3 linked regions of the Saccharomyces cerevisiae S288C genome follow. The protein of the gene in region 2 interacts with the protein of the main gene of each other region in a biochemical or structural test. Each region holds a gene or a part of one and is shown on either strand. Other genes may lie near its edges.

Region 1 (4,491 bases), on a different chromosome or scaffold from region 2:
ATAAAAATTCTTGTTAAATATTTCAGGAACATCCTCCTCTCCTTGGTGGTTGTTATTTTTCCCATTTTGTAACCACCTGCGCATTCTTTCCCTAAATTTGGTAGGCTTTTTCTGCTTCGACTGCTTTGGGGAAGTTGAGGTTATTTCCCCAGAAGGATCATTCTCATATGTGCCAGAGCTTCTCATTGTTGCTAGCTTTTCTACTCTACTTCTATCATGATAATAGGCACTATTGTGAAATTTTTCACTTTTATTTTATTTTCTGACTTCATGATTTTGTGTCGCCTGTTTGCCTTTCCTTACGTAAAAAAAAAAAAAGAAATGGAGATAGTTTCGGGACCCCGTTTATAAACCTTTAATATTTTAGAAAACACATAACTTCATATACTATTTATAATTGCATTTGGATTTATTTATCTATTTATTATTATGATTACTTTTACTATAACTAATCTATTTCATTAAATTTTTTTGGTTTATGTCCAGGTTGGAGATTTCCTTTAAGCTTGGTATGTAGAGGAAGAAACATTACCACCGTGGCCAGTCCAGTTGATATGGATATCCTTGTCTACTGGCAAGTTGTCAGAAGCACATTCTGGCAACACTCTGAAAGTGTGAGCACCAAAGTAGTCACGTTGAGCTTGTAGTAAGTTGGCTGGCAATCTTTCAGATCTGTACCCATCGTAGAAAGACAAAGCGGTGGAAAAGGCTGGTGTTGGGATACCGTAGGTGGTAGCCAACGCAATTGACTTTCTCCAACCAGATTGAGCCTTGGTGACGGCATCAGCGAAGAACTTGTTGAACAACAAGTTTTCCAAATCTGGTTCTTCTCTGTAGGCCTTTGTGATTTGACCCAAGAAAACAGATCTAATGATACAACCACCTCTCCACATCAAAGCGATGGCAGGGTTGTTTAGTTTCCAGCCATAAGTAGCAGCAGCTTCACGGATCAACATGAAACCTTGAGCGTAAGAAATAATCTTGGAAGCATACAAAGCTTGTTCCAAATCATCGACAAATTGTTCTCTGTCCTTGACGGCGTCTTTTGGAACTTCTGGGCCTGGTAAGACCTTGGAGGCTCTAATTCTCTCGTTCTTCAAAGCAGATAGACAACGGGCAAAGACAGCTTCACCAATCAAAGTAACTGGCATACCCAAATCCAAGGCGTTGATGGCAGTCCACTTACCAGTACCCTTTTGACCAGCAGTATCCATGATTTTTTCAACTAATGGCTTACCGTCGACGTCGTCGAATTTCAAAATATCTCTGGTAATTTCGACCAAGAAGGAATCCAAGACACCATTGTTCCATTTGGCAAAAACGTCACTGATTTCCTTATCGGTAAACCCACCCAATCTCTTCATGATGTCATAAGCTTCACAAATCAATTGCATATCACCGTATTCAATACCGTTGTGAACCATCTTGACGTAGTGACCAGCACCGGCTGGGCCAACCCATTCGCAACATGGTTCACCGTCGGATTTAGCAGAGATGGATTGGAAGATGTTCTTAATATGTGGCCAAGCTTCTTCAGAACCACCTGGCATCAAAGATGGACCGTAACGGGCACCTTCCTCACCACCGGAGACACCAGAACCAACGAAAAGAATACCCTTCTTCTTCAATTCTTCGTAACGTCTATTAGAATCTGGGAAGTGAGAGTTACCACCATCGATGATAATATCACCCTTTTCCAAAAGTGGGACGATTTGGTTGATCAAAGCGTCAACTGGAGCACCAGCTTTAACCAAAAGCATGACCTTTCTAGGTCTCTTCAATTTGGAGATGAAATCTTCAATGGAAGTAGCACCGATGATAGATTTGCCCTTAGCTTCATTGGCCAAGAAATGGTCGACCTTGGATTGAGTTCTGTTGTAAGCACAAACAGTGAAACCGTGGTCAGCAGCGTTCAAGATCAAATTTTGACCCATGACGGCCAAACCAATCAAACCGAAATCAGCAGACATTTTATTGTAGTTTTTGTATAGAAAGTGGCTTTTTTCTGTAATGGCAACAATACAGGTTTATATGTATCAGGCTATTTACTTTATTATGTAAGAAAGGACCCCACTAAGAAAAAAGGAAACCTTTGAAAAAGAAACAAGCTCAGGAACAATACTGCAGCTTTTAACGAACATCAGGCCCATTTATATAATACAGCCTCGAAGCCCACCAAGGCCAAAGCGCAAGGCCGCGTGGACCACCAGGACGAAGCACCGCGTAACACCGAGGCACCGTAATGTAACACCGACAGCCACAATAGGTACAAAAGCAGCACAACCTCGAGGCGGGACGAAAGAACAGAGAGGTAGCAGGTGATTTACGTAGTTACTATGTAGCATGCATGGAGTTATGTAGAAGGGACATCGTTGACGTTGATGGGAAGGAATAAACCACTCTTACGTTTAGGTCTCTCTGGGGTTGTCGGAGTAGAACTAGTCTTGAATGGCCGAGGTATGAAATGGCCATCCTTGTCGTTTGGCGGTGGCTTAGGGGTAGAGTGTATAGGTGCCGTTGTATCCTTTATAATTATCGTCGGCGGTTCAGTGAGTGTCGCAGTAGTTGCCGTCGTGATCCTGTTTGCGATCAACGTTTGCAAAGTTTCTACAGTTCTTTCGTTGATGAAAAATGTAGATAATGTTGGTGACAAGATTTTGATGTCGATAGGGTTCTGTAAGCCTGTTCTTCTTACGAAGTGATGGGCCAATGGTATGTCTATGTCACTGTTGTCTCTAAACAAATCTTGTATTGTTTGCGGCGGAAGTGAGTATTTGCTATTGATCAATTGAAAATGGTTTGCTAGTTCTTGTAGAAACCTTAAGGAGCTCGTCGGAAACTGTTCACATAGGGATGTTAGCGATTTTTCGGCCTTAATTAAGTCATCGTAGTGGTTTGAAGGTATTAGGCTGTCGGGTAGCTCTAACAGCCATAATTTTATCAGTCCGACGAGATCATTAGTGACATAGCTGTGCGAGTTTTCAAAAAAATGAGCAGTGATTATAGAGTTTGTATTTTCGGTAGTTTTCGATCCTTTGAATTCCCCCAATAAGTCTCTTTTCAAATTAGAAACCCTTACAAAATCAATATCCCTGTGCCAACTTTGTATGACTTTATTAGCATTTGGTTCCTTTTCAATCTGCCGCAGTATAATCTTTATTGCCCCTAACGTATCAAGAGCAGCCAGTTCATTATTTATTTCACTACCACAGAAAAACTTTTCGCTTTTTATGGAGATTTCTTTGCAAGCGTCGACTGGATCACTCGCTTCTAGGATATTCCACCTGCGAAAGGGTATGCCATTATCCCTGAGGAAAAACCCTCTTACATCCGCATTGGCAGTTTCCTGTGGCAGTTGTGCTTCTTGTAGAGAACACACAGGTGAGTCAGTAAATTTTTCACATTTTTGTTGAAACATCATGTTTGATGATTCTAGAGCTCGTTTGATTCCGTCCTCCATTTTAGAGTAATTTTTACAATAATCATAAATGGTTTTTTCCAACTGCACTTTAGAATATTCCAACTGGCAACACTTGGAGAAAAAAATATCTTGTGATGATTCAAGTTGCTGTTTTAAACTCTTCCACTCATTTTTATTCATATCTGTACTTCCCGCTGCATCGCAATCATCATTATCATGTTGACTAACTTTGCGGATCCAATCGGATATAGATGTTTTGATAGATGAAACGTTGGACTTTTCTTCGTGTTCATTGTCGGAGTGTGTTAACTCACCATACGATTTTTTTTTTCTGTTTCCAGCATTACCATTACTCTCTTGCGTAGCAAGGACTTCACTGTTCCAGTAATAGTATTTTTCCTGGTCAAACTGAGAAACTTTGCTAGAGTAAAAACTCAGGGAATATTCTTGTATTATACCCAGTTGGATGAATTCGTTACCTATCCTATCGATATTAAATAAGGACAGGTTTAGTCTGGGTTCAAGTTTTTTCAATTCTTTGATCAATGACCTGCCTTGGAAACTTTGATTTGACAATCCTGGAACGGAAAAGACACTTTTCTCCAGGATGACTTTTCCCTTCAAGGTTTGCAAAAATGACATAAATTGGTCGCAATCCTCAAATTTTAACCTCTCGTCTAAAGTGTAAGGAAACTCGCATACGAAGTTCAACCTGGTTAACGGTGCACTATCCTTTCCATTATCAAAAACAGAGGAAGAATTTTCCACTGGCGTATTGGCTTTTTTCAATTTATATATAGACTGAACTCTTTTCTCACATCCAATTAGTGCCTCTTTAGCTGCGACTAAATCCTTAATGTAAGCTGAATAACGAGATGACAAATCGTTTTCTGCCTCACGAAGGAAGCTCTCATTAAGATCTCTTAGTTCTTGCAATGGAATTTTACAATCTCTTTCAACTTGCTCTGTTGATATTATATTAAACTGTTTGCTCATCACTTCCAGCAGCCTGCTATTCATTGAATTGGTTGCTTCCATTTTTTGTAAATTGTTCAATGTTGGTTTCCAAA
Region 2 (9,641 bases):
TTAGTAGAATATAAAATTATAATAAGGATTTTGTGAACATCTGACAGACAGGCTCGTTCGTGTCTATTTCCATTCTGAAATTTGAATGCGCTTTGGCGAGACATAGATTTGTGTCAAAATATGAAGTTGAGTGCCTTTATGAGGTTGGGTTGAACATGAACAACCAGCCAAAATAAAAAAATAATAAATAAGACGAGTGCCACTTATATAGCTTGAGAGAGAGAGAGAGCGTTTGCACGTATATGTGTGACATAATCAGCGTTTACTCATCATCGTCGTCTCCATCGCCTGCAGCTATTCGAGCCTTGACATCTTTCCATAATTTTCCTTTGTTGTGATTCTCGTACCATGAAGTAATAGCAGTATCAAATACAGTTTGGAAAACAAAGGCACCTGCAAAGATAGTACCAACAAAAACAGCGTTTCGTTTGAAAAAGGTTTTATATAGTGATGAAAAAGACTACTCATAATTTATGCATTGTTAGTAACCTGAATGGAAACGCATGGAACATATTCATAGAGCTGCTGTCACCAATTTCATAAGCTTCGCTAAGTCGTTGCGCTCATCGGTGGGAAACTAATTTCCAAAGCCCATGATACTTGGCTAAGGAAGATTCCACGGATAACATTTTTAGCCTGAAATGTGAAGCAGCACACACACACACCAACATACCATTTTAGTCCGTATTGCTATTGTTGCTTTACGAAATTGCGAAGGATATGAAAATCAACCTTCAACGATTATTGACTATCCGTGACAGGACATTAAATACAACTGCTAAGCTAAAGTTTGAGAGGGGATGTCATTAGGGAAAGGCCCAAGGATTGAGCAGCTTTTAGGTCCTAGAATTCTTTCGGCATTGACTTCCCCGCGTTTGATTGGGTCGTGTATAATGATACATATTAACAACTGGGGAGTTCAAAAGTTGCCTTCGCTAGATAAGGAAACTTATGATAGTCACTTCGAAGTATTTGTAATTAGGTTGGTATTACTTCTTTGTTAATAATAAATAAAAGTCAATCGACGCGCAAATGTTTAATAATGTATAAGTTTTTATATACAAATATGTCAACTATAAAACATAGTAGAGGGCTTGAATCTACCAAATCTCTCGCTCATCAGAGTCATCATTATCATCAGAGTCATCCTCATCGAGGTTTCTTGGATTTGTATTTCTTATGATAGTAGCTCCATCAAATTGAGGTCCTAAGAACTGCAATATTGGTGGGGGATTCTGAGGTGCATCATCATCGCCATTTCCCTGCGGTTGTAGAGTGTTCCTAAAGTTTTCGAAGAATTGGAAAAAATCACGTACTCCGCCACCAGCAATACCTTCTGCGCCAACCCCAAATAAGTTGGCGGCCTGTCCAGTTTCATCATCAACATCCATTTCGTCATTTCCCTCCGTAAAAAACCCGTCTTCTCCCTCTTCCATATCTTCATCATCTTCATCTGTTGGAGGTATTCTTCTTGGCCTTGGTTCTCTATTAAATGCAAACAAGAAACCATTGGAAAGTATAGTCACTCGAAATTCGTCACCCATTACTCTACTAATATAACCTGGAATTTCATTGTTAATCCATAATCTGTTTAAGTGCTCATATCTTTTCAAATTCAAGGTGGTTAAATCACCTCTTCTCATGGCATTTCTACCAACTTCACCATGCGAATTTAGATATGGTGCAGATATAAAAATATTAGAAGGAGGCTGTGTCAAATGGAGACAAACTTCACTTGAATTGGGCATCAGGAAGGCGCCAAATGGTTTAAAACAATTTTTATTCAAATGCTTGGTCATTTCATGGCGGTCCGCTCTTAAATGCACTTTGACACCACATGTCAAACATATTTTGAAATCTAATCGATTATCCGCATTCTTCATATGCTGAGAACGCTCTTCACGTAGCTTGATTTCCTTAGATTGGGTAACGTAAGTATTCAAATATTTTGATAAATCTATCAGTTTTATAATCCCACAATATTCATATGGGATGTTCTCCAAATATGGATGCGATACAATGGACTCCTGCGTTGTCAAAAGATCGACTAAGGATTCTTTTTCAGTAATCATTTTCAATGCCTTATTGACAAACTCGGCGGTATCTTCGAATTCCAGTTCTTCTTCAACCTCATGACCGTTGATGACCAGCGTTTCATTTTCAGAATCTTTCACTAATTCGTGTAGCACTTTGATAAAGACTAAGCACCTTCTTATCGTAGGAAGAAGACTCTTCAACAGGAAGGTATAAGCTAGATCATAAATAATACTTTCGGAGTCCAATCCCTCCATTCGTACATCAGATATGGTCCTTAGGGCGAAGAGCATCTGCTCACTTACTTTAAGAACATCCCCAATTTTGGACGCTTTAGCATACAATTTGGTAACCTGTTCTGCATCAGAAAGACCCTGAAGAAAATCTCTTAGAAACTGTCTAGAGAACGTTGTTAACGCCTCTGTAACAGTCTGACGAAGTGAAACTGGAGAAAATAAAGCGCTTCGAACAATATATTGGAAGAGTTGATTTTGGTTCCAAACAGTATCGGGCTGCTGCGGGTACGGTTCAAACTCCATACTTGGCTTGCCTATGACAAAGGTGAACAGCATAATGCAGACTAATATATTTTTTAAAGTTTTGTATTTCTGTTCCCTGCTTCTGAAAAATGAAATACTGTATGGCTTTTCTAACCTAGAAGCAATTTCTAACATTGAAATGGTATTTGCCCAGTGCACACTTAATATTAAAGAAACGTCCTTATGCGAAAAGTTGGCCCGCTTTCTTACCGCTTTATCAAAACCTTGACACTGAGATATCATCAACGAAAATATAGAGTTTATTGTACGATAATTTTCCTCAGTAAAAGGTTTGAAGAGCCTTGACAATGTATCCAAAGAAAGTTCTGATTCCAAAAACATATCTAGCGACAAACCAGTATTTGCCTTTGAGGTTTGACAAAGAGGTAAAGTACAATTCGAAAATGTTTGGCATAAAGGACATATAAACGCGTTTGATGAAAATCTCTTTTTTTGAACGTACCTCTTGAAGCAGTTATGATGAATGTGATGATTACAGGATACAAATACTTTCCTAGATCCACAACTACCGTTTTCCTTCAAAGCCTCTAAAACATCATCGTCAATATAAGCTTGTTTTTCATCATCGTTGTAGAAACCATCCCACATGGGCATAAATTCATTTGGGTTAAAAATATTACCAGGTCTAAATATCGGGGAATGATCATGGTACGCAGGTATCACAAAAAAATCGGTCGAACTGGAATCTTGACATAGTGCGCAGGTAAAATCCTCCGATTCATATACTTTTTCACCGACCATGTCAACATCGTTATCCTGCTCATCAAATTCAGACTCATGTTCTTTCATGAATTTCGTTTGTTGATTGTTAAACTTGGCTAGAAGCCTTGCTTGATGTTTCTTGGCCAATCTTCTTTTTCGTTCCTTCTCTGTCTCTTGTAAGTTAACTCCTTGGCGTAGTTTCTTATCCTTATAATCATTAACGTATTGGTTGCCAAAACTGGCAATTAATGACTCAAAAAGTTCATTTGGTTTTTTCATTATCATCTTCTCTAACAAATAGTCGGCTTTACGGACAATACTCTCGGAAAATACGTCTGATTTAGCATTGGCTATGCTCAAGAGTAAATTACATATAGGCTTTGACAAATAAGCTTCTGGTATAGAGTCCTTACCATTTATCAATTCATCATCCCTGAATATACCATGAACTAAATGTAGTAGCTCATTCAGGAAAGTGCTATCCTCCATATCCAGACATACCTGGAGTAGTTTATAGACCACTTTGGCAAATACCGTATTCCTTGTAAAAGCACCCAGATTGAGAGCGTCTTTATCTAACTGTTTTATTGAGACTTGGGGTATTAGTACAACTTTTGCTATTTCATCCTTATCCTTAGCCAAATGTGATTTAATAATAGTTGCACTACTTTCGAATTCGTTTTCCAAATTCAGCAACTTTAACGGATCAACCTTTGCATACAAGCTTGCTTTTAATTTAAAAACACCATTGTCGGCCAAGCCCTTAGGCTCAACGAAAACAGAGACTTCTTCAAGTGCTTCGTCAAACTCGGTAGTATCTTCAGTTAGGTAGTCAGGAACTGATCTTAGTAGCTTTGAATACGAAAGGGGTTTCATGTAAAGGTTATAAATGATTGAATTTTTGATTTGATCCATTCTTCTATCCTTTAGAGAAGAGAAAGTTTTAAAATATTGTCTTTCGGTCAATATTTGATAAATAAAGGCAATGAATTGTTGAATGATGAATGAAATTTTATCCTCATAGACAGTGTGTTGATAGTCAACTTCACCTGTAAACCAGTCTAGTAATTCCCATCTATCAAGAATATTGTATATTATTCTCGGAATGTCATCACGTTCCCAAAGGATAGCTAACTGATTCAAATGTATATCTCTGGAATAGGAACCTAATTCGGGATTGTTTTTATAATACGATGCTTGATGTAACACAGACATACCATTTCTTACCCAAAACCCGACGTCAATTTGAGAGCACAATACAACTGATCTCAAAGAGAAATCCGATATTTTCAGAAAATCTGAACAGTCTTCTAACGCTTCGTATGCATCCTTTAAAGACACTTTTTCGATAAGGAATGAAAGCATTGTTTGTAAAGGATTCATAAATGCAACTCTTTCGTGGCTTACGCTAAACTTAATGACTTCATGAGAATCATATATTAACTTGTATGTTAGTGATCTATTGCCTAGAAATGAACTGATAATTCTTATTGCATTTAAAAAAAGCTTTGAATCAATGGAATCTTTTGATTTTTCGCTAACTTTTTCCGCTGTTTGAATAATACTGTAAATGGAGGTGGTATATTCTAAATAGGAGATGAAATTTTGATCTTCGTGAAGAACATGTTCACCTTCTTTACGCTTTATCTTCCACGCTCCATTGAAGAGCTTGCAAAGAGTTAATAGAGATATTATTTCCTTAGGTCTCAATGGAATATTAGGATCATGTACCTTACTCAATAAAGTTTCAACTGTATACAACCCTTGCTTGAATGATATACTGTAACTCTTTGTTAAATTGCTTTTTTGAACTCTCTGCCAGATCAATACACCACCTTCCACCTTACAAAACTCCTTAAAAATGTCTATAATTGACCACACAATATCCAAAAAACTTTGGTTTTCGAAAATATTTTTGGCATTCGTAGGGCATGTAAATAACTGTACGACACACTCTCTTATAGCTGTTAGCTGAGGTTCTCTATCCATATATGCCACAGATCTTGTGATGTGGTTGAATATTTCGACTACCTGTTGACAGAAAATGGGCTTGTATAAATTTGAAGAGGCCAACGTTGGAATGATCACATTCTGAATATCTTTTCTCAGTCTTTTCCAATATCTGTTATCAAAATAAAGAATATGTTGTAATCTTGTATTAGAATATGTTCTTGATGTTGGAGTTTCTACATCATTTATCAATGGTGAAAGTGAATGGGTGCTTGATTCGGGTAGAATTTTGTGATGACCCAAAGGAATTTGATTGCCATCTGCAAGGATAGATAAATCGATGTATCTGTAGGGATCATTCTTATCGAACTTGTTGCTGAAATATTTCTCCACCACCGGTGTCATATCACGACATTCTGTTGCATTTAAGTATTCTGAACACAGGGTTTTACCCATCATGTTCCTAAAAGTGGTTTGGAAGGAGGAGTTTGGTATGTTTAAACAGTGTGTAATCCAAAGGATGATATACTTGCATGTTTCTTGATGAAGATATTCTGACCACGATGTTAAAGTGGCACTTAATCCATTCGTTTGAACAGCAAAAAAACCACCTAAGACAGATGATAAATCTTGTGAACATTTCAACATTGCTCGACCTTCTCCGTCAATCCTGGATGTTAATAGATCAATGTGTACGTTATCTGGAACCCCCTGTCTCAAGGCAGTCGTAGCCTGCGAATAGTTATGATATTCATCGTTATATATTATTACCGTGTAATTTTCGGGATCGATTTTCGCAAGCGATGGAGATGCCTCAGGGCTATTAGAGGGGCTCGTCTTTGCTGTTGTTGTTCCGTCAAACATATAATCGTTTTCATATTTTAAATCGTTTAAAAACTGCGCTCTTTCATACATTTTTCCCTGTTGTGTCATCTCTCTTAATTTGATAGTGATATCTTTCTGTATTGTGGGTAGAGGTTCGATATTCTGGTTAAAAACATCGATAAAATAGTCAAACACTTCTGCAAGAACCAACTCCACTAATGCTATATTCACTGAATCATTCCATACATCTTCTTCCTTTATGTCGGCATTTGTGGCGGGATCTTCCGATATATCGTTTTCTTGTTCTTCAGCTTTGCAATGAAGTGGAGAATTCCAAGCTTCTTCATCTCCACAGTCACAAATTCCACTAGTGAATTCAGTACATATATCGGTACAAACATGATGATTCACATGATCTTTTGGATTAAAACAATGAATACAAAGCACACAAGTATCATCGCAACCACACTCATGACACCTATACAAGGGTTCCCCTATTTTGAATTTCCTCCCACAATTTCTTCCGGTATGTTTATGGACGTCTCCTATTCTGGATTCATCTATCTTATAAAACGGAATAGTTTGTTGAGATGTTATCTTATCAATATCCACAGCATCTTCTAAACTGTCAGGAAAAACAGTAAGCTCTGGGTTAGATAATTTTTGTTTTGGATGAGCATTGAATAAAGTAGGTAAGTTCTCTCCGCTGTTAGAAATGACAAAGTATAGATATCTGTAAATGAACTCTTTAAGGGCTCTGCTCATGTCAGCCCTTTCAGTAGGACCTCTCGTATACCTAAAATAGGGGAGGTTATGAATAGACCTCAGTGTTCTCCTAATGTGACCTTGTAAAGATCCTAAATCATCATCAGCAACGGACATATTGGAATGTTCTATGTAATTTGTGTGACCTGTAAAGATTAGGGACTTCAGTGAGAGAAAATAGTCAACTAATAGGATACAGTAAACTTCAACTGCCTTTGTCCGAAGATGCGAAGAAAAAGGAAGAAAGGTGGTAAAAAAACTTAATAATGTATCGCAATAAGAAGGAGGGGCAAAGAAAGCAGGATGCTACTATTAAAATAGTTTGCTTTTGTTAAATGCCCAGTTTCACGCTATAAGTATGCAAAATTAAAGAATAAAAAGCCCAATGAGGAATAAAGCAGTTTTATTGAGGTGAGACTAAAAGGGTCTAGCAATGAAAACAATATATGTTTCCTTTTTAAAATGTACCAAAGTCTTTATACTCGCTCGTTGATGTACTGGGCGTTATCAAAACTGTTTGCCACTGGGTAGTTGCCTTATGGTCACTATCTGCAAGTTAAATTCAATCGCAAGAGGAAGAGAAAATAAACCGTCGCATCACTTTTCTACACTTACCCGGTTATTAATTTTATAACGTTTATATGATATATCTTTTCTTATTTATTATATTATGAATCGTGAAAACGGATTAAGCTATGCTTACAATTTGGTTTCCTCTAGTTTCGTGGCAATCTCGTTGGTCTTAGTAGCGCCTGGGTACTTAGTACCCTTATTCTTTGGTTTCTTAGCCTTTTTCGACTTTTGTGGTGTGGCAACTGGATAACCCTTTTCGGAGGCCTCTTGAAATTCCTTGTTGTTGGCAAATTCTTGTCTGATTGGCTCCAATAGCTCGTTGATAGCGTCAGCAACACCAATTTTTAGATCAGGTGGGGACAATTTTTCTTCTTTAAAAGCCAATTTCATTTCTTCGAAGGATTTGTAGGTAATTGGACCACCGAACTTTTCTGGTCTATCAATGAAGAATTCGAAGTGATTTGTACCAAACTTCAATTCTTGGATTGGTGCAATGACATATTGGACAAATGACAGTAAACCATTCTCTTCGACGTTACCGGGGCTACAAAATGCACTATTGATCTTTTTCTTAACTTGCTTTGGTTCTTCCAAAAGGTCGATTTTTGAATTCGGATCAGAGGCAGACATTTTACCACCTTGAGCCAAACCTGGAACCATAGGGTTCATTAAATGTGCTCTTTTCTTGTAGCCCAAACTTGGTAAATTTTCTTCCGCTAAGACAAAAATTTTTCTCTGGTCGACACCACCAAATTGGCAATCAACATCTAAGAATTGTTCGTCCAACGCTTGCATTAAAGGATAGATAAGCCCACTCAATAATGGATTGGCGACTTGCTTGACAACATCAGCGCCTGCCCTTTTAGCATCGTTTTGTGAAACAATGTTGGATAATCTAAAGATATCCATGGTATAGTCTGGAGTTAGCTGGTAAGAAGAGCCAACAACAAATTTTAGCTTTTCAATTGGAACATTGATGCTTCTCAAGATAGCTTTGATGGTCAATTCATAGTATTTGGCCCTATAGTTCACCACTTCCAATGGCGCCTTCATGTTGTCCAAAAAGGCGTGCAAGTCTGCTAAAAGAACAGTCACTTCACAACCTGCTTTCAAGAAATCAGCAAGCTTGGTCATAGGAACAAAATAACCACAATGAGGTCTTCCAGTGGGCGCGGTACCCCAGTATAATTTCAAATGTCTCTTTTGTACTTCGAGAACATCTTTGATGATTTGTGGGTTCAAGACTTCTTGCAAGTTCTTGGTAATGAGACCGAACGCCTCATTAGGGTCAACCGTGGCAGCAGAGGACATGTTATCGTCAATTAGAGTATGCGGTTATGGATGCTAATCTCTTTTTGACAATGACTAATTTGTATTCTGAAGAAAGAACAATTAATTTTCATAAAATTTTTCTACTTTGTAAATGTTCGAGTTCCGTTCTTAGTGATGCTCGAATAAGGACCTTCTCGCCTCCATGATAAAATAAAAATTATGATAGTAAGAAGTATGGATGGTTCGAAAGGTTGAAGAATAGCTAGGGAGGCCTATTCGAGTAAGCGCAAGGATGTCCAGACGCAATCCACCAGGCAGTAGAAACGGGGGAGGTCCGACGAATGCCTCTCCCTTCATTAAAAGAGACAGAATGAGAAGAAATTTCCTGAGGATGAGAATGGGTCAAAACGGCAGCAATTCTAGTTCCCCAGGCGTACCAAATGGAGACAACAGCAGGGGATCTCTTGTCAAAAAGGATGATCCTGAGTATGCTGAAGAGAGAGAGAAAATGCTTTTGCAAATCGGTGTCGAGGCCGATGCTGGCAGGAGCAATGTTAAAGTAAAGGACGAAGATCCTAATGAATATAATGAATTTCCCTTAAGAGCTATTCCAAAGGAGGATTTAGAAAACATGAGGACACATCTTTTGAAGTTTCAGAGTAAAAAAAAGATAAACCCTGTAACAGACTTCCATCTTCCCGTAAGACTGCATAGGAAGGATACGAGAAACTTGCAGTTTCAGCTAACAAGAGCAGAAATTGTTCAAAGGCAAAAAGAAATTTCTGAGTATAAAAAAAAAGCAGAGCAAGAAAGAAGTACTCCTAACTCGGGTGGTATGAATAAATCAGGAACGGTCTCGCTCAATAATACTGTTAAAGATGGGTCTCAGACACCTACTGTTGATTCAGTTACTAAAGACAACACGGCCAACGGTGTGAACTCCTCCATTCCTACTGTAAC
Region 3 (4,830 bases), on a different chromosome or scaffold from region 2:
TCGGACCCAATTTTTAAAGAATCTTTGTCCATAGTCTTGAATAAAGAATATTCATCTTCCTCAATTCGTGACACCTCTGCGAATAACTGTAAAAGACAATTTGTAGAAAAGGCCCTGACATCAGGATAGTTCTCCGTGTCTTCAAAAAGTTGAGCAAATACTGGCAGTATTTTTTTTACATGTCTTAAAGCCCAGTATTTATCTTGATTTCGTATTTCCAGCAAAAACTTAGTATAATAATTAACCAATTCGATGAAAACGAGGATATCTTCAACGGATTTCAGTATCTCTTCTTTAGTAAAGCAAAATATGATATCCTTGAACTCAGGACCGCTGATGAATTGAAACTCAATAGTCAAGAAGTCAATTAATCTGACAAAAGAAACCGTTTCCATTCTACCCTTTACGCTCACCAGGTATGGCAAATTATTATCAAATAATCGACGCCTAATCAATTCATCTGTACTCAACCTTTCCAACGCTTTTTCGATTGCTGTAATGAGCTTATCATTCTCCACTTTCTCATCAAATAGAATATCCAATAGAATATCGATGATATTACTGGTCGCGAATAAACCCTTTGGCTGCGAATTCTCAATGACTCTACATGCTGCTACTTTTAATGGATCTATTTCTGACCTAAGGGCCTTCACTAAGTCCTCCGCGCTATAAACTTCTAGAACATCGTCAAAATCAGCCATGGGAACAAGCTTGTCCACAACGTCCAAAAGGTAATCGTAATTCAATGAATCATAGGATACGTTAGACGTCAGAAAACGCTTGATCGTAGCCAGTAGTGGTTTAACATCCATATCTGGAAGGGAGACAACAGTCACAAGATTCAAAGAACATTTCCTTAATAGTGTGTTGATATCTTCAGGCAAGTTATCTTCATTAAGTTCATTTTCTAATTGCGTAAGGAGATTTTCCACGTAATTTGTTTCTTTCTCACTCATTGCTCCTGTTTCGCTGAGTTCTTTTGCGGTGATTATAGTTGTAAACTTGTTTTATTTTTAATCCCGTAATTAAGGTGTTTATATAAACTTACTCTTCAATTTTTCTATATGCATTTGAAACAGAAAAAAAGATATAAAAATACCAGCTATAACAAAAATCCATGTAAATAAAATTACTGTATATTTTTTTATGTAATCTAATCAAAAAAAATTCACGTCTAATACTAGTCATAAATGGAGTTGAAGCCATTAACTACTTATTTTTTATCTTCGTCCTTTTTCTTTTCTAAATGGACATTATTACCATTAAAGGTTGTTGGGTCTTCAGGATCTTCTTGATGATCGTTGTTAACAAATTGGAAAACATTTGGCGAGACAGAACGTGACGTAGTAAGGTTGGTTTCCGATGGGTACCTGGTTCCGCTAGGTGTCAGCATTGGTGATGCATGAGCAGATGATTGAACTGGTTCCCGAACATTGTTGTATTGGAAACAGCTTGACGAAGCAGCTCCAGATAAAGGTGTTGAAGACCTCACTTCGTGACGATTCGGCTTCGATGTTTCCTCACGTTGTGATGTTACTTCAGGATCTTTATCGTTGTGCCACCACGTAGAGAATCCCTTATAAAGACGGCCCAAAAGGCTTGGTCCCTCCATCCCAGTCACAGATAGCCCCGAGTTTTGAGTTTCTAGTGGTTTAAGTAATAATGCAGACCTTGGAGTTAGTTCTAGTGTCTCTAGCGTCTTCAATTCATCAGAATCCTTAAATGTCACTCTGGGAATGCCCCTGTGGAATGAGTACGGGCAGTCTCCATCTGTCCTGTTGACGTCCACCCATTTTCTAACGTCATTTAATGTTTCAGACGAGTTGAACTCATGTTTTAGAGTCTTGCCATCAGTCATCCTGATTTGCAAGACGCATTTGCTGCTGTGCAGTTTTTGTGCGTCTTTTATGTAATCATGAACATCCAATGGCTTATCATCATCAAGGGTTCTGTGATGAGTTTCATCAAGAGCTTTTCTTTCTGCACGGTCTGCCCTAACAAGTCTTATAATTCTTTCTCTTTCCTCCTCAGCCAGCTTTCTTTGTTTCAGTTGTTCACGACGTTGGATCTCTAAGGTAGTCTCAGCAATCCGTTCTCTTGCATTTTTCCTATGGACGTCTCTGGATGACTTTTCTTCTCTAGCCAAACCTGGATTGGTTTCCCTGGACGAACTCTCACCAGCCTTTTTGTCTTTGATGCCTATGCACGCCAGCAACTTCTCCCAATGTCGGTCATCCTCGCCTTGAATAATCAATTCTATCTTTCCAGCACGTATCAAGTATATACTGGGTACAACTACATTAGGAAATACTTGCTCAAATAACTGGAACTGCTCAGTGTCTTTGACCAACCTCAACCAAATACTATGTTCCGCTAAAGTATCTAATGAGACATCATCTCCTTTAAACCAACTTTTCAGCCACTGGTCATCCCGTGCAGTGTTGTAAACGGCCAGCACAACGCCTTCCTTGATGGAATCGTTTATTGCTTCTTCCACAGAATCTCTAAACAGTGCTTCTAACATTTGGTTACGGCTGTTTGGTTTAGCTATCCTTGCTTCTTTGTAAGTGCTTTCAACCTCAACCCAGCTCCCTTTTAAATTTTCAACATTACTACGAGGCCTGCCGAAGTTAATAAAGAGCGGCTTTAAATGTCATTTTAATAATTGAATGGCAAATAAAAACAACTACAGCTTCAAACATAAGAGTATATCATAAGTTGCTGTATATGGGCAGCACGTATTACTATGAGTCTCTCGCAGGTGTCACCTTTACCCCATATCAAGGATGTTGTTTTAGGAGATACAGTAGGCCAAGGCGCATTCGCCTGCGTTAAAAATGCTCATCTTCAAATGGATCCCTCCATTATTCTAGCTGTTAAATTCATTCATGTTCCCACTTGCAAAAAAATGGGACTCAGTGACAAGGATATCACAAAAGAGGTTGTTTTGCAATCGAAGTGTTCTAAGCATCCTAATGTTTTGAGACTTATCGATTGTAATGTCTCTAAAGAATATATGTGGATAATTCTGGAGATGGCAGATGGTGGTGATCTATTTGATAAGATTGAGCCTGACGTTGGAGTTGATTCCGACGTGGCCCAATTTTACTTTCAACAGCTCGTTAGTGCTATTAATTATCTGCATGTAGAATGTGGAGTTGCTCACAGAGACATCAAGCCTGAAAACATCTTACTCGATAAGAACGGAAATCTGAAGCTAGCTGATTTTGGGCTCGCCTCTCAATTTAGGAGGAAAGATGGTACATTACGTGTATCCATGGATCAAAGGGGTTCTCCACCCTACATGGCTCCTGAAGTATTATATTCTGAAGAGGGTTATTACGCAGATCGAACAGATATATGGTCTATTGGCATCCTCTTGTTCGTATTGTTGACTGGTCAAACGCCTTGGGAATTACCTTCATTAGAGAACGAAGATTTCGTCTTTTTTATTGAAAATGATGGAAATTTAAACTGGGGACCCTGGTCAAAGATAGAATTTACTCACTTGAACCTACTCCGAAAAATTTTACAACCTGACCCAAATAAGAGGGTGACATTGAAGGCTTTAAAGTTACATCCTTGGGTATTACGTCGAGCTTCATTTTCTGGGGATGATGGTCTCTGTAATGACCCTGAACTCTTGGCTAAGAAACTGTTTTCTCACTTAAAAGTCTCACTGAGTAACGAAAATTATTTGAAATTCACTCAAGATACAAACTCTAATAATAGGTACATTTCTACTCAGCCAATTGGTAACGAATTGGCTGAGCTTGAACACGACTCAATGCATTTCCAGACAGTTTCGAATACACAACGTGCATTTACCTCGTATGATTCAAATACGAACTATAATAGCGGAACAGGTATGACACAAGAGGCTAAGTGGACGCAATTCATAAGCTATGATATCGCTGCCTTACAGTTTCATTCTGATGAAAATGATTGTAATGAATTAGTAAAACGACATTTACAATTTAATCCGAATAAACTTACCAAGTTCTACACGTTGCAACCTATGGATGTTTTGTTACCGATTTTGGAGAAAGCCTTGAATTTATCACAAATTAGAGTAAAACCCGACCTTTTTGCGAATTTTGAAAGATTGTGCGAATTATTGGGTTATGATAACGTTTTCCCACTTATTATAAATATTAAAACCAAAAGTAATGGGGGTTATCAATTATGCGGTAGCATTTCCATCATAAAGATTGAAGAAGAGTTGAAAAGTGTCGGATTTGAAAGAAAAACTGGTGATCCTTTAGAATGGAGAAGATTGTTCAAGAAAATTTCAACTATCTGTAGGGATATTATCCTAATTCCCAACTGAAAAAAATGGAGACAAAAGAAGGGTTAAGATGCACTGATCAAAAAAAAAAAAAAATTCTTTCTACTTATTATATATCTCTCTCGATTTCTAGTGTGTCATCGTAACTATATATTGTTTCGAGAGATTTTATTATTGTAATTAATTTATTGCCATTTTGATCTATTCTACATACTAACAATCAATTCATATCATTATCCCTGTTTGAGTAATATTCGAGCCTCATCATAAAATCTAATAATTCAATTCTCAAGTTTCTTCTTTCTTCCACAGATATTCCGTTCAAGTCGCCCGGTGTGAACCCTCTCAATCTGGCCACTAACCTTCTCGACTTTTTTGAAAAAAAGTGCACTTTTAATGAAGGTGTGGCTTCCCTAGATGTAGCATCTTCGTTACCATCTCCCCCCAACAAAGGTTCGCCATCTGCTTCTGTGTGGGCTTGGCCTAATTGAATTTCATGGTGTTTTTCTTTTCCACCAATTGTTTTTGGTACGGTGTCTAAG

What was found. Proteins that work in one complex are often made in the same cells at the same time.
Region 1: of the proteins of UBR1 (region 2) and GND1, one has a biochemical effect on the other in vitro, tested with the Saccharomyces cerevisiae proteins (one study listed by BioGRID).
Region 3: of the proteins of UBR1 (region 2) and CHK1, one has a biochemical effect on the other in vitro, tested with the Saccharomyces cerevisiae proteins (3 studies listed by BioGRID).

What each region holds. Positions count from the first base shown.
Region 1 is NC_001140.6:468,439-472,929, reverse strand, and holds GND1 (phosphogluconate dehydrogenase (decarboxylating) GND1), read right to left. Parts: upstream 1,971-4,491; coding exon 501-1,970; downstream 1-500. Other genes in the region: SSP1 (Ssp1p), read right to left, coding at 1-186; RGD3 (Rgd3p), read right to left, coding at 2,354-4,491. UniProt on the Saccharomyces cerevisiae protein: Catalyzes the oxidative decarboxylation of 6-phosphogluconate to ribulose 5-phosphate and CO(2), with concomitant reduction of NADP to NADPH.
Region 2 is NC_001139.9:858,801-868,441, forward strand, and holds UBR1 (E3 ubiquitin-protein ligase UBR1), read right to left. Parts: upstream 6,954-9,641; coding exon 1,101-6,953; downstream 1-1,100. Other genes in the region: QCR9 (ubiquinol--cytochrome-c reductase subunit 9), read right to left, coding at 263-460, 674-676; tyrosine--tRNA ligase TYS1, read right to left, coding at 7,536-8,720; transcription factor IIF subunit TFG1, read left to right, coding at 8,974-9,641. UniProt on the Saccharomyces cerevisiae protein: Ubiquitin ligase protein which is a component of the N-end rule pathway. Recognizes and binds to proteins bearing specific N-terminal residues that are destabilizing according to the N-end rule, leading to their ubiquitination and subsequent degradation.
Region 3 is NC_001134.8:746,848-751,677, forward strand, and holds CHK1 (serine/threonine protein kinase CHK1), read left to right. Parts: upstream 1-2,746; coding exon 2,747-4,330; downstream 4,331-4,830. Other genes in the region: HSM3 (Hsm3p), read right to left, coding at 1-956; UBX7 (Ubx7p), read right to left, coding at 1,214-2,524; DNA-binding protein RIF1, read right to left, coding at 4,509-4,830. UniProt on the Saccharomyces cerevisiae protein: Serine/threonine-protein kinase which is required for checkpoint-mediated cell cycle arrest and activation of DNA repair in response to the presence of DNA damage or unreplicated DNA.